Linked DNA regions of Arabidopsis thaliana. The protein of the gene in region 1 interacts with the protein of each later gene in a biochemical or structural test. Each region holds a gene or a part of one and is shown on either strand. Other genes may lie near its edges. The genes, in order: SKB1 and AT1G07660.

Evidence for each region.
Region 2: of the proteins of SKB1 (region 1) and AT1G07660, one has a biochemical effect on the other in vitro, tested with the Arabidopsis thaliana proteins (one study listed by BioGRID).

What each region holds. Positions count from the first base shown.
Region 1 is NC_003075.7:15,131,451-15,138,870, reverse strand, and holds SKB1 (SHK1 binding protein 1), read left to right. Parts: upstream 1-2,174; 5' UTR 2,175-2,302; coding exon 2,303-2,443; intron 2,444-2,555; coding exon 2,556-2,673; intron 2,674-2,764; coding exon 2,765-2,874; intron 2,875-2,958; coding exon 2,959-3,048; intron 3,049-3,182; coding exon 3,183-3,248; intron 3,249-3,461; coding exon 3,462-3,541; intron 3,542-3,633; coding exon 3,634-3,709; intron 3,710-3,795; coding exon 3,796-3,882; intron 3,883-3,998; coding exon 3,999-4,059; intron 4,060-4,210; coding exon 4,211-4,302; intron 4,303-4,413; coding exon 4,414-4,449; intron 4,450-4,570; coding exon 4,571-4,639; intron 4,640-4,836; coding exon 4,837-4,905; intron 4,906-5,013; coding exon 5,014-5,067; intron 5,068-5,146; coding exon 5,147-5,221; intron 5,222-5,332; coding exon 5,333-5,425; intron 5,426-5,510; coding exon 5,511-5,614; intron 5,615-5,711; coding exon 5,712-5,760; intron 5,761-5,837; coding exon 5,838-5,924; intron 5,925-6,040; and 10 more. Other genes in the region: AT4G31130 (keratin-associated protein (DUF1218)), read left to right, coding at 406-495, 1,093-1,307, 1,430-1,712; AT4G31115 (DUF1997 family protein, putative (DUF1997)), read right to left, coding at 7,024-7,138, 7,229-7,287.
Region 2 is NC_003070.9:2,366,937-2,370,453, reverse strand, and holds AT1G07660 (Histone superfamily protein), read right to left. Parts: upstream 1,622-3,517; 5' UTR 1,447-1,621; intron 1,266-1,446; 5' UTR 1,243-1,265; coding exon 931-1,242; 3' UTR 719-930; downstream 1-718. Other genes in the region: ECA4 (endomembrane-type CA-ATPase 4), read left to right, coding at 1-149; DSI-1VOC (dessication-induced 1VOC superfamily protein), read left to right, coding at 2,105-2,232, 2,463-2,625, 2,720-2,842. UniProt on the Arabidopsis thaliana protein: Core component of nucleosome. Nucleosomes wrap and compact DNA into chromatin, limiting DNA accessibility to the cellular machineries which require DNA as a template.

The DNA.
Region 1 (7,420 bases):
GAAAAATAAGATGATGAATACATGTGGAAGAAGATAAATATGGAATCTTTTATTTTTTGGTCAACAGAATCTTGAAGAGCCCAAAACAACAACAACACTCGGAGACTTTTTAGGGCTCATCCCCGAATTATCAGTGCAAGTGGATCGAATTAAACCAAAATCAAAACTAAGCAACCTAACTAACCATATCTTCCGATTTCTCTTATCTCTCTGAAGCCACAAATCTCCAGATTCATTCGTCGTCTCGGTGAGTGTTTTTCTTTTACAGTTCGATTTTTCCGACTCTGTTCGTTGATTCGATTTTCAAATCTGATTTATGTTTTGGGGGAAATCGAATTTGATATCTGTGTGCTCTCGGATATATTATATAGGTTAAGGTTAGACGGAGAAGAAGATACAACAAATATGGCGGTTAGTATGAAACAAATGTCGTTGGTCGTCTCTGCTTTGGGCGTCTTATCCTTTGTTTTGGGAGTTATCGCCGAGAACAAGAAGGTACAAAAAAAAGTCGTCTCCTTTTGATTATTTCGTGAGAAAACTTTAAATTTCCTGTTTGTTTTCGATGATGATTTTTGTTCTTCTTCTTTGTGTTTATCTACTACTACCACATAAACAATTCCTGTTGCTTTTTGGCGCAAGTTAGTTTTTTTTTTGCACAGGAAATAATCACTCTGGAATTGTATGTATCAAACAGTGATCTAACTATGGATGAATCAATTGTTTTGATTTCCTGTTTCTTTAGGATGCTTTGGTTGTTATTTGTGCTATTCTCTGTGAATGGAGGATGTCAAATTTGTTTTAGTCACAGGACTATGACTCTGATATTGTGATATTGTTGGATTGTATGAAAAAATGTGATCTTCTCACAGCTTCATAATTGTATCTAATGATGGGAAACCAATGTGATCTTAACTGACCCGTAGCTAAATCTTACTCTTTCTACACAATTGTTTGACCTCATCATTGTCACTGATCTCTCTAGGATACCGTATGTCAAGAGCTTTTCATAAGTGGGTAAACCACTTCGGCTTTCTTATTCTTATGTGTTACTGATTGTGTGATTTGTTTCTGTTCTTTGTGTTTTCATCTTAGCCTGCGTCTGGGACTCCAATAAGTGGAAAAGGAGTAGTTATCTGCAAATACCCATCTGATCCAACTGTTGCCTTGGGATACCTTTCTGCTGCTTTTCTCCTTGCCTGCACTGTAGCAGGATACAAATCCTTGTTCATCTCTTACAAGGGAAAGTCTGTTCCTAACTCTGTCTTGTTCAAAAGCACCAGCTTCTCTGTGTTCTTCAACATTGCCTTGTAAGCATTTCCTCTTCTTTTCAAGAACACAGTAGCTAGACCATTACAAATATTCTTGGATTCCGGTATTATAAAGCCTAAAAATAGGAGTCTTTTTGTGACCTATGGTTATTGTCGTGTAGGATAACATCTGGACTGGCCTTGTCTCTGTTGCTCTGGCCAACCATTACAGAACAACTTCACTTGACCCGTAATGTTCACCGAAACTTAGAAACCAGTTGCCCCACGGCTAAGACCGGTCTGCTTGGTGGAGGTGCCTTTGTGTCTTTGGACTCGTGCCTTTTCTGGTTGGTTGCTCTGATGCTCGCTGATAACGCCCGTGAAGACCATTTTGATGAAGTTGAAAGCAGAAGCATCGATGGGAACTCTTCCTCCAGGGATGTGAATCTCAAGATTGATGCTTGAGAGAATGATATGCTTTTATTGGTATTGGGTATAAGAAGGGTTTTTCATTTGTTTTCTACTTGTTTGATTAGGAAAATAATAATTTGTTTCTTCTGTTGTTTTTTTTTTTTTTAATGATTGGCTAGAATGTTATGAAACCCATCTCTGCACCTTGATGCATTGTGATTCATAAGCTGTATCTGTGAAAAATAATCTTTTGGTTATATCTCTTACATTTGACATAATTGATATGAGAAAGCACTTCAAATCACACACTATATCAACATTTTTCTTTCTAAGAATATGTAAATATTCACTTGAATTCGGGTGGCTACTAGTAGTCTAGTACTACTATCACAAACCATAAGACTCTTTTATGTCAAAACCAATTAACATGTTTAGAGCCAATGGTTGGAGCTTGGGATGGCATAAATGGGCTAGGTATAGCATATCATAAAGCCCATTAGAAAAGCCCGATATAAACTACAGATCAGTAAAATTAAACCCTGTCAAAAACCCTTTCGTTTTCGTCGTCCGCTCGAGAAAAGAAGATTCACTTCCATCTGCAAATTCCTTCACTCCCTGTGAGCTCAATAGAGAGAGAAGAAGAGATGCCGCTCGGAGAGAGAGGAGGATGGGAGAGGACCGAGTCCAGATACTGCGGCGTTGAGACTGATTTCTCCAACGATGTTACTCATCTTCTCAACTTCAACATTTCCACCGGCGGTTTTGACTATGTTCTCGCTCCTCTGGTTTGTTTCCTTCTTCTTCCTCGACTCTCACGTCCTTGCCTGTTGTTACTGTATCAATTGGGATTTGAAATTTTATATCTTTGACGGAGTTTACTTCTTTCTCTTCCTGCAGGTGGATCCTTCGTATAGGCCGAGCTTGGTGGAAGGAAATGGTGTAGATACTCAGGTTCTTCCAGTCTGTGGCTCTGACTTAGTCTTGTCACCTTCTCAATGGAGCAGTCATGTTGTTGGTATGATTCTATTTGCTTCTCCACCGTGTGATTTTGTACTCGTTATGAATATGATGGGTTTTGATTTGAGTGGTAAATCTTCATTCTCTAGGAAAAATTAGTTCGTGGATTGACTTGGATTCTGAAGATGAGGTCTTACGGATGGATTCAGAAACCACATTGAAGCAAGAAATAGCTTGGGCTACTCATCTCTCCTTACAGGTGCTTGTGCATCTATGGATTTAACTCACTCTCTTTGTTTTCTTGCCTGCAAAGTGATTTTGAAGAGAAATTCTTTTGTTGCAGGCATGCCTTCTTCCCACTCCTAAAGGGAAATCGTGCGCCAATTATGCCAGATGTGTGAACCAGATCTTACAAGGCCTCACTACCTTGCAGGTGGTTTACGAGTTTCTTGCTGCCGGTCTAGCTTTATTTCAGATGAGACTTTTCTTTACAAGATCACCTTCAATCAAGCTCTAACATTTTGTGGATCTTCTTTGTTTTGTTTAAATGTCATTTCTGCGCTGAAGTTATGGCTAAGGGTTCCACTGGTGAAGTCTGAAGGTGATTCAATGGATGATACCTCAGAGGGACTGGTAAGACATTGGATCAAATTTTATGCAAACTTAAGATTGTTAGTACTTTTTGTGCCTTCTCAGATTTTTAAGGGACTCTCTAATGCGGATCCCTTGGAATCACTTGATGTGGCTGCCTTTTAAACCTAGAAATACAAATAAATGTCCCTATCTGTTCACGTTTTTGTACACTTTGTGTGAGGATTACTTTAATATATACTCTCTTCTATGCAGAATGATTCCTGGGAGCTGTGGAATTCGTTTCGTCTTCTTTGTGAGCATGACAGTAAGCTGTCTGTTGCTCTTGATGTTCTGTGAGTTGAGAGAAACTCTTGATTATTGTTGTTAATGTGGACCCAAAGTTTTTTTTCCACTCTACTAACATAACACCATTTTCTTCATATAGGAGTACACTACCCTCTGAAACTTCACTAGGGCGCTGGATGGGAGAGTCTGTGAGAGCAGCCATATTAAGCACTGATGTAAGTGCCTGACTTCTTGCCGCATTATTATAAACTCCACTTTGAAGTATTGCGAATCACAAAATGCCTCTAATTTGGCGTTGCAGGCTTTCTTAACAAATGCTCGGGGTTATCCTTGCTTGTCCAAACGCCACCAAAAGTTAATAGCAGGATTTTTTGATCATGCTGCCCAGGTAACAAACATCCCACTCTTTGTGATATAGAAATAAATTAAAATCTTCTTTTGACTCACAAAAGAGATCTATTAGACTCGATCTGGTGCTCATTATCATCAATCTTGTAAATGCAGGTTGTAATTTGTGGAAAGCCTGTTCATAATCTTCAAAAGCCTCTTGATTCTAGCTCGGAGGGTAATTTTTCTGTATAATCTTTTGTCCTCTGAAAATTAGCTATTATCCTCTGGGCTTGTTTTCCGTAGCTCAATTTATCACGGGCATTGTTATAATCATAGTTGATTCCAAGTTTTGAGCTAAATATTTTATTACGGGCATTGTTTGTCAGGTACAGAGAAGAATCCTCTGCGCATATATTTGGACTATGTTGCTTATCTGTTCCAAAAGATGGAATCACTTTCTGAACAGGAACGCATCGAGGTCGTTTTTTGCATCCTTTTGCCTCAGTCCTTCTATGTTTTTTATCACTAGATGCAAGCTGGCAGATACAACTCTATTCTGACAGTTATCTAAATCTTACTCTTTGTACAGCTGGGTTACAGGGATTTTTTGCAGGCACCCCTGCAGGTTAGCCTCTTTTCATAAGCAATTCTGATTTCTGTCCGTTCATCATGATAATTTACCCTGTATGAAAATGCTCTATTCTTACTGTAAAGAGCCTCTACTGTTTTTTTTTTAATGAATACAGCCTCTTATGGACAACCTCGAAGCCCAAACCTATGAGACGTTTGAGAGAGACTCTGTTAAATACATCCAAGTATGTTGCATATTCTAGTTTTTTCCCCTCACATCTTAAATTTTAACTCCTTTGGTTTCTAGATTTCCCCTCGTCTATTTCTGCTTCGGTTTGCAGAGGAGAGTGGACTGATGGATGAATCATGTTGAACAATTTAATATCATAGCCTGGTTTTTTTTTAAAGCATGCTTAACTTTCGTCCATCTTTGTGTTGTTAGTATCAAAGAGCAGTTGAGAAAGCCTTGGTGGACAGGGTACCTGATGAAAAAGCATCCGAGTTGACTACTGTATGTCATATGTCAATGTTTTGCTTACAAAGTGGCATTTTCATTTATAAGTTTTTTTTCTGCTATTCATATGAAATACTTCAGTAGGACTGAAATTTTAGTTTTTAGGTCCTGATGGTTGTGGGGGCAGGAAGGGGACCCCTTGTGAGGGCATCGTTACAGGTAAAGTCCTGATGCACAAGGAGACATTGAAAATTCATTTGTTTCATTAATCAAATGTGTTCATTGTTTCCTTTACCAGGCAGCTGAAGAAACTGATCGGAAGTTGAAAGTTTATGCCGTGGAAAAGAATCCTAATGCCGTTGTAACACTCCATGTGAGTTGTCAGCACTGAGTCGATTAAAAAATTGCTAATTTTCCTGTGATTTCATTCGGACGTGCAGTGTGGTTTCTAATTAACTCAGAGCATTGTTATTTTTTCTGATAGAATTTGGTTAAGATGGAAGGATGGGAAGACGTTGTTACGATAATATCCTGTGACATGCGTTTTTGGAATGCTCCCGAGCAAGCTGATATATTGGTCAGTATGTACAGATTTTTGTAGCTAATACTCATGCTGACATTATATACAGTTCATCTAATTCTCGTTTGCCTCTTCTATGCAGGTTAGCGAACTGCTGGGTTCTTTTGGAGACAATGAACTTTCTCCTGAGTGTCTTGATGGAGCCCAAAGGTTTCTGAAGCCAGACGGAATTTCAATACCATCCTCGTATGTGTACTCCTTCGCTTAGTTGAAATTTCATAAGAAACTCATCTGTCCTTTTGTTTCTCTAACTGGAGGAGGAACATCGTTATTACTTTTTCAGGTATACAAGTTTCATACAGCCTATAACAGCTTCGAAGCTTTACAATGACGTAGGTTCTTCTGCTTTTTGCTATGTACTCGCAAGAGTTTTCAGATTAACTCAAGTTCTTTTTCATCCATTTGGCAGGTTAAGGCTCATAAAGATCTTGCGCACTTTGAAACTGCTTATGTTGTCAAGCTGCATAGTGTAGCAAAGCTTGCTCCTTCCCAGTCTGTGAGTCTCTCTCTGTCTCCAGCATTTTCTAATAGCTTAAAGTGTTCTCTTTAAATACATTTATGCAAGTCTTGTCGATCTGACCATCTCAGGATTTTTGGTTTGGTCTTAAATAGGTTTTCACATTTACTCATCCAAACTTCTCAACGAAAGTCAACAACCAACGCTATAAGAAGCTTCAGTTCAGTCTACCAAGCGATGCTGGCTCAGCTTTGGTGCATGGTACCTGCTTTTTTCTAGCCCTTTTTTGTTTGTTAATGTCAATTTTACATCTCCATTTCCGTAATCTGAAACTGAATCTACTGCGATCATAATAGGATTCGCTGGCTATTTTGATTCCGTCCTTTATAAAGATGTTCATCTTGGGATCGAGCCTACAACAGCAACACCAAACATGTTCAGCTGGTAATGGATTAATGTCTATAAATGTTTTAAAACAGAGCTTTCTTCTATCGAACCTCTTACTTCAACCGAGAGAAAATCGTGTTCCTTTTGGCAGGTTCCCAATCTTTTTCCCATTGAGGAAGCCTGTGGAGGTTCACCCTGATACTCCATTAGAAGTACACTTTTGGAGGTGTTGTGGTTCCTCAAAGGTAAAAAAAGTTGAAACCACAAGATTCCATACAACTAACTCTTTGTCTAAAGAACTATTATTGATCCTCTGATTTTCGGGTTCAGGTTTGGTATGAATGGTCGGTGTCTTCACCTACTCCATCTCCGATGCATAACACCAATGGCCGTTCGTACTGGGTTGGCCTTTAGGATTAGAGACTTTTGACTGATGACGAAAAAGTTATGTAATCTTATTGTGCTGTATTTTTGTCACAAGAAAGACTAAAGTTTACGAGTGAATCAAATCTCTCTTGACCTTATTTATGTTTGTACTTTTTCAGTAATTTCATTGCACTTTTAATACAAAGCTATCTCTTTCATCTCAAAAGGCCAAAGTATACAAGTGAATCAAATCTATTTTGTTCATTTAATTGTTTGTACTTTTTGCAGTAATTCAGAGCTATCTCTAATACACGCTGTAATCTCAAACGGCCAAAACGACCCAACAAATCCTGCCTCGGCCGTTTGACAAAACATTGGTAATAGATTAAGAAGTTGCGTTTAAGGAGTTCCGTTGCTGTTTTTTAATCCATTCGTCGTAATCTTTAAGTAATTGCTGAAGCAGAAGGGGAACCAGTGTATCGACCAGTGTCTGCATTACTCTGCAATCATCGTATCAAAATATAACATTACTCGGGCACTTCGAGCCAAGAAGCAGAAGAAATGTAAAACGAACAATAATGTACACTTACAGATTCCCAGGAGCCTCAACAGCTGATACTGGAAGCATTGTGAACGGTCGCGTTGAGATCTGCCATGAACAAGGGGGATTTTGATGAACATAGGAAACAAAGCTTTTTCATATACACAAAACCGAAATGAGAATCATAAGTCGACATGACCTATCCACACAATGATGGATCACAGACAACCATCACGGTACA
Region 2 (3,517 bases), on another chromosome or scaffold:
TGCCACTGAGCTTGAACGAGTGGCTGCTAGTGCTGGCTGTGTCGCTGCCGGTAATTTTGATAGACGAAGTGCTCAAGTTTGTAGGAAGGTGCACGAGTGGCTACCGCTACTCACCTCGCACTCCCTCAGCTAAGCAAAAGGAGGAGTAAGAAAATAATTCAAAAGGCATTATTATTAGACTCTTAGTTTTAGCTGAAATTAACTTTGTTGCTTTACTCATCCTTGCTATATTTAATTCTCCAAACGATAATTTTTGGTTTGAAAAAGAAAAGTTTCTAACTTTGGTTCATGGACACAGCCCGTGATAGAAAGATGAATGTTTCAACCAAACCTTGATTCTTTATGTAAACTTTTATGGTCGACCAAATTGGTTTTTAAGACTGATGGTAATTTATTTTGGGCACAACCTTAAGAGATCAGAGATTCAATCTCTTTATCCTGTGAGAGAAATACGTATTCTCTGCTTGCACTCCTGGACACATTTCTGCAATATTAATGACTGCTAAGTCTATACCTTAAAAACACCTCTCAAAATGAACCCATATCAAATTTGACTGTAGTTTAGCAATGCTAGCGTCGTTGCTAAAAGCCTAATCAAAGCTTGAGAGAAATTACCGCTGCCTCATATGAATGATCTCATAAGATGGTGAACTAGATTTGATTGCTTTCAACAACCATTTGTTTAGTGTCTATCCTAAGAGATGAGGAGACAAAGAAATCAAGCAAATGGATAATTCTCATTAGATTTTCTTAGCACAAAGCTTGCAAAAGATAATTAACTACTACATCACATTGGCTAATAACAACGAAAAACGAGAAACAAAAACTAACTCCTGAATTTACTTTTGACTAATTCAAACCATTTAACACGGATCTCAGAAACAAGAAGAAATCCCCAAACTTGCATAAACCCTAATCCCCCAAATCGGATTAACCTCCGAAACCGTAGAGAGTACGACCTTGCCTCTTCAAAGCGTAGACAACATCCATGGCGGTCACCGTCTTCCTCCTGGCGTGCTCAGTGTAGGTAACGGCGTCACGGATAACATTCTCGAGGAAGATCTTGAGGACACCTCTGGTCTCTTCGTAGATGAGACCACTGATACGCTTGACACCACCTCTACGAGCAAGACGACGAATAGCAGGCTTGGTGATTCCTTGAATGTTATCCCTCAGAACCTTCCTGTGCCTCTTCGCTCCTCCCTTTCCCAATCCTTTTCCTCCCTTTCCTCTTCCTGACATCTCTTTACTTGATACACAAAGATCTGTGAAAAATAACAGAAGGAAACTATTCAGAAACCCTAGATTTCCAGATCAATCAATTGAATTGAGAATCGAAACATTTAAACTCTTCGAAAATGTGACAAATCGAGAAAAACTTTGAAGAAATTAAGCTAACATTAAATTGAAATCTACGCCTAAGCAAGGCAGAAATATATGAATTACCTGTAGATTTATGGAATGAAAGTTCTTCAAAAATGTGATTGTAAAAAGTATGTTACTTCGAGTACAAAGTGGTGGGATTAACTTGTATCTTTCTTTCTGTTGTATTATCGTAGCTTGTATCAACTTTCCTCTCTTGAGGCTTTGAGGCCTTAATGAATGAAAGTTGTGTTTTGACAAAAAAAAAAAAAAAAAAAAAAAAAGTGGTGGGATTAACATTTTATAAAGGAAGTGACTACCCAGGACATATATTTTCGGCCGTAACGATTCATCTTCTTTCAACGGTCCAAGATTGCGATCCGCGTGAAATCTGTAAGAAGAATATGGATCGTTGGTTCTTAAAGATCAACGGTAGTAGATGGCTTTCGACTTTTCGTCATTCTCTGTGTAAACTCCATTAAACAACTAAAAAAAGCCTCCAACATAACAGATAACCCAAGACTTTTTTCTAATCTAAAGGCCCATATGTGAGTAGTAGGCCCAAATTGACCCAAAAAAGGGAGCAAAAAGCTCACGTGGCAGCAAGTACCCTACACACGAAGGTGCATGTTGTCGACCACGTGTTGAGCTCACCGTAAAGAGAGATCCTATGTGAGGTTTGATGATGAGCATTTCCAAGGATTTCATCGGATCGAAATCAGAATCATAAGACTGGGAAAAAATGGCAGCTAATATGATGAGACCGGCGTTTGCTTACACTGTTGTGTACGTGAAGGACGTAGCTAAATCTGTAGAATTCTACTCTAGAGCTTTTGGTCACAACGTCCGTCGTCTTGACGAATCCCACAGGTTTGTATTATGAATTGTTACTATTCTCTACGTTGGATTGTCTTAGGTGTTGTTGGATACGATCATAGGAATGTAAACGACAGAATCGTATTAGGTCATGAAACAAAACTCTCGGGTTTGAGATTCTATTGGTGCGATGTCCTATAATCAGGTCCGATCCGCTGGCTAACATGCTAAGCAAACACACCAAATATATATGTTTGATGAATGAAAGAAACTGATACATACAGGTGGGGGGAGCTAGAGAGCGGGCAAACCACGATAGCGTTCACACCGCTTCACCAGCATGAGACCGACGACCTAACCGGGAAGGTTCAGGCTACGCAGTCAGCACGTGAAAGAGCACCCATCGAAGTCTGCTTCTGTTACCCTGATGTTGATGCCGCTTTCAAGGTAGAAATCAATTATTATATACTTATGTCTATATTTGCCTGTTACTCTTCAATTCGTACGTGTTGATAAACCAGTGAGATGCTGCGTTGTGCAGAGAGCGGTGGAGAACGGTGCGGAGGCAGTGAGCAAGCCGGAAGATAAAGAATGGGGGCAGAAGGTTGGATACGTGCGAGACATTGACGGCATTGTTGTACGCATCGGAAGCCACGTTAAGTGAATTCAAAATAAAGACTCGTAAAATATGATCATTAACTAGTCTATATACATATGAATAAATATTACAAGATACTTTGGTACCTTTGTTAATTATGGTTGATGTCTTGATGAATATATTTACTTAAAGCAACATGTAAAGTAAAAAGATATACAAAGTGTCCAGCCTAGTCCCCACACTCCCCTCTCTCAATTCGTTTTTTCTTTGTTAGTATCGTTACACAAAGTAGGAAACGATGTTATGATCAAAATCATAATAGTTGGATTTTTCTCCTATCCTAGTTATCTTAAACATTTATCAAATGATTCCGCGACCCAACAAAATAACAAACGAAAGAGAGTGTAAAGTTCCTTTTACCTTTTTTCTTTTTATCTTTTGTCGTAGTCGTAGTTTCGTATGTTTGTGAGTACTTTGGCTTTCCAAATTAATACGACTGGCTGTCTATCAAAGTAGCTAAACCAATAATGTAAAGATCTGTCGTATGTGGTCTTTGAAACCCAAATCAATTGTTTGTTTTATAACAATAATTGATTCTTGATTTTTGTCAAATAGAACTTATCAACAATAATTGATGAGACTCGATTATCCGCTGAAAATATTTTTATAATTATTTTAGGAGGAAGGTATCATATATATACTACTTTTCATTGTTTGCCGGCTAAATAATTTTAGGAATTG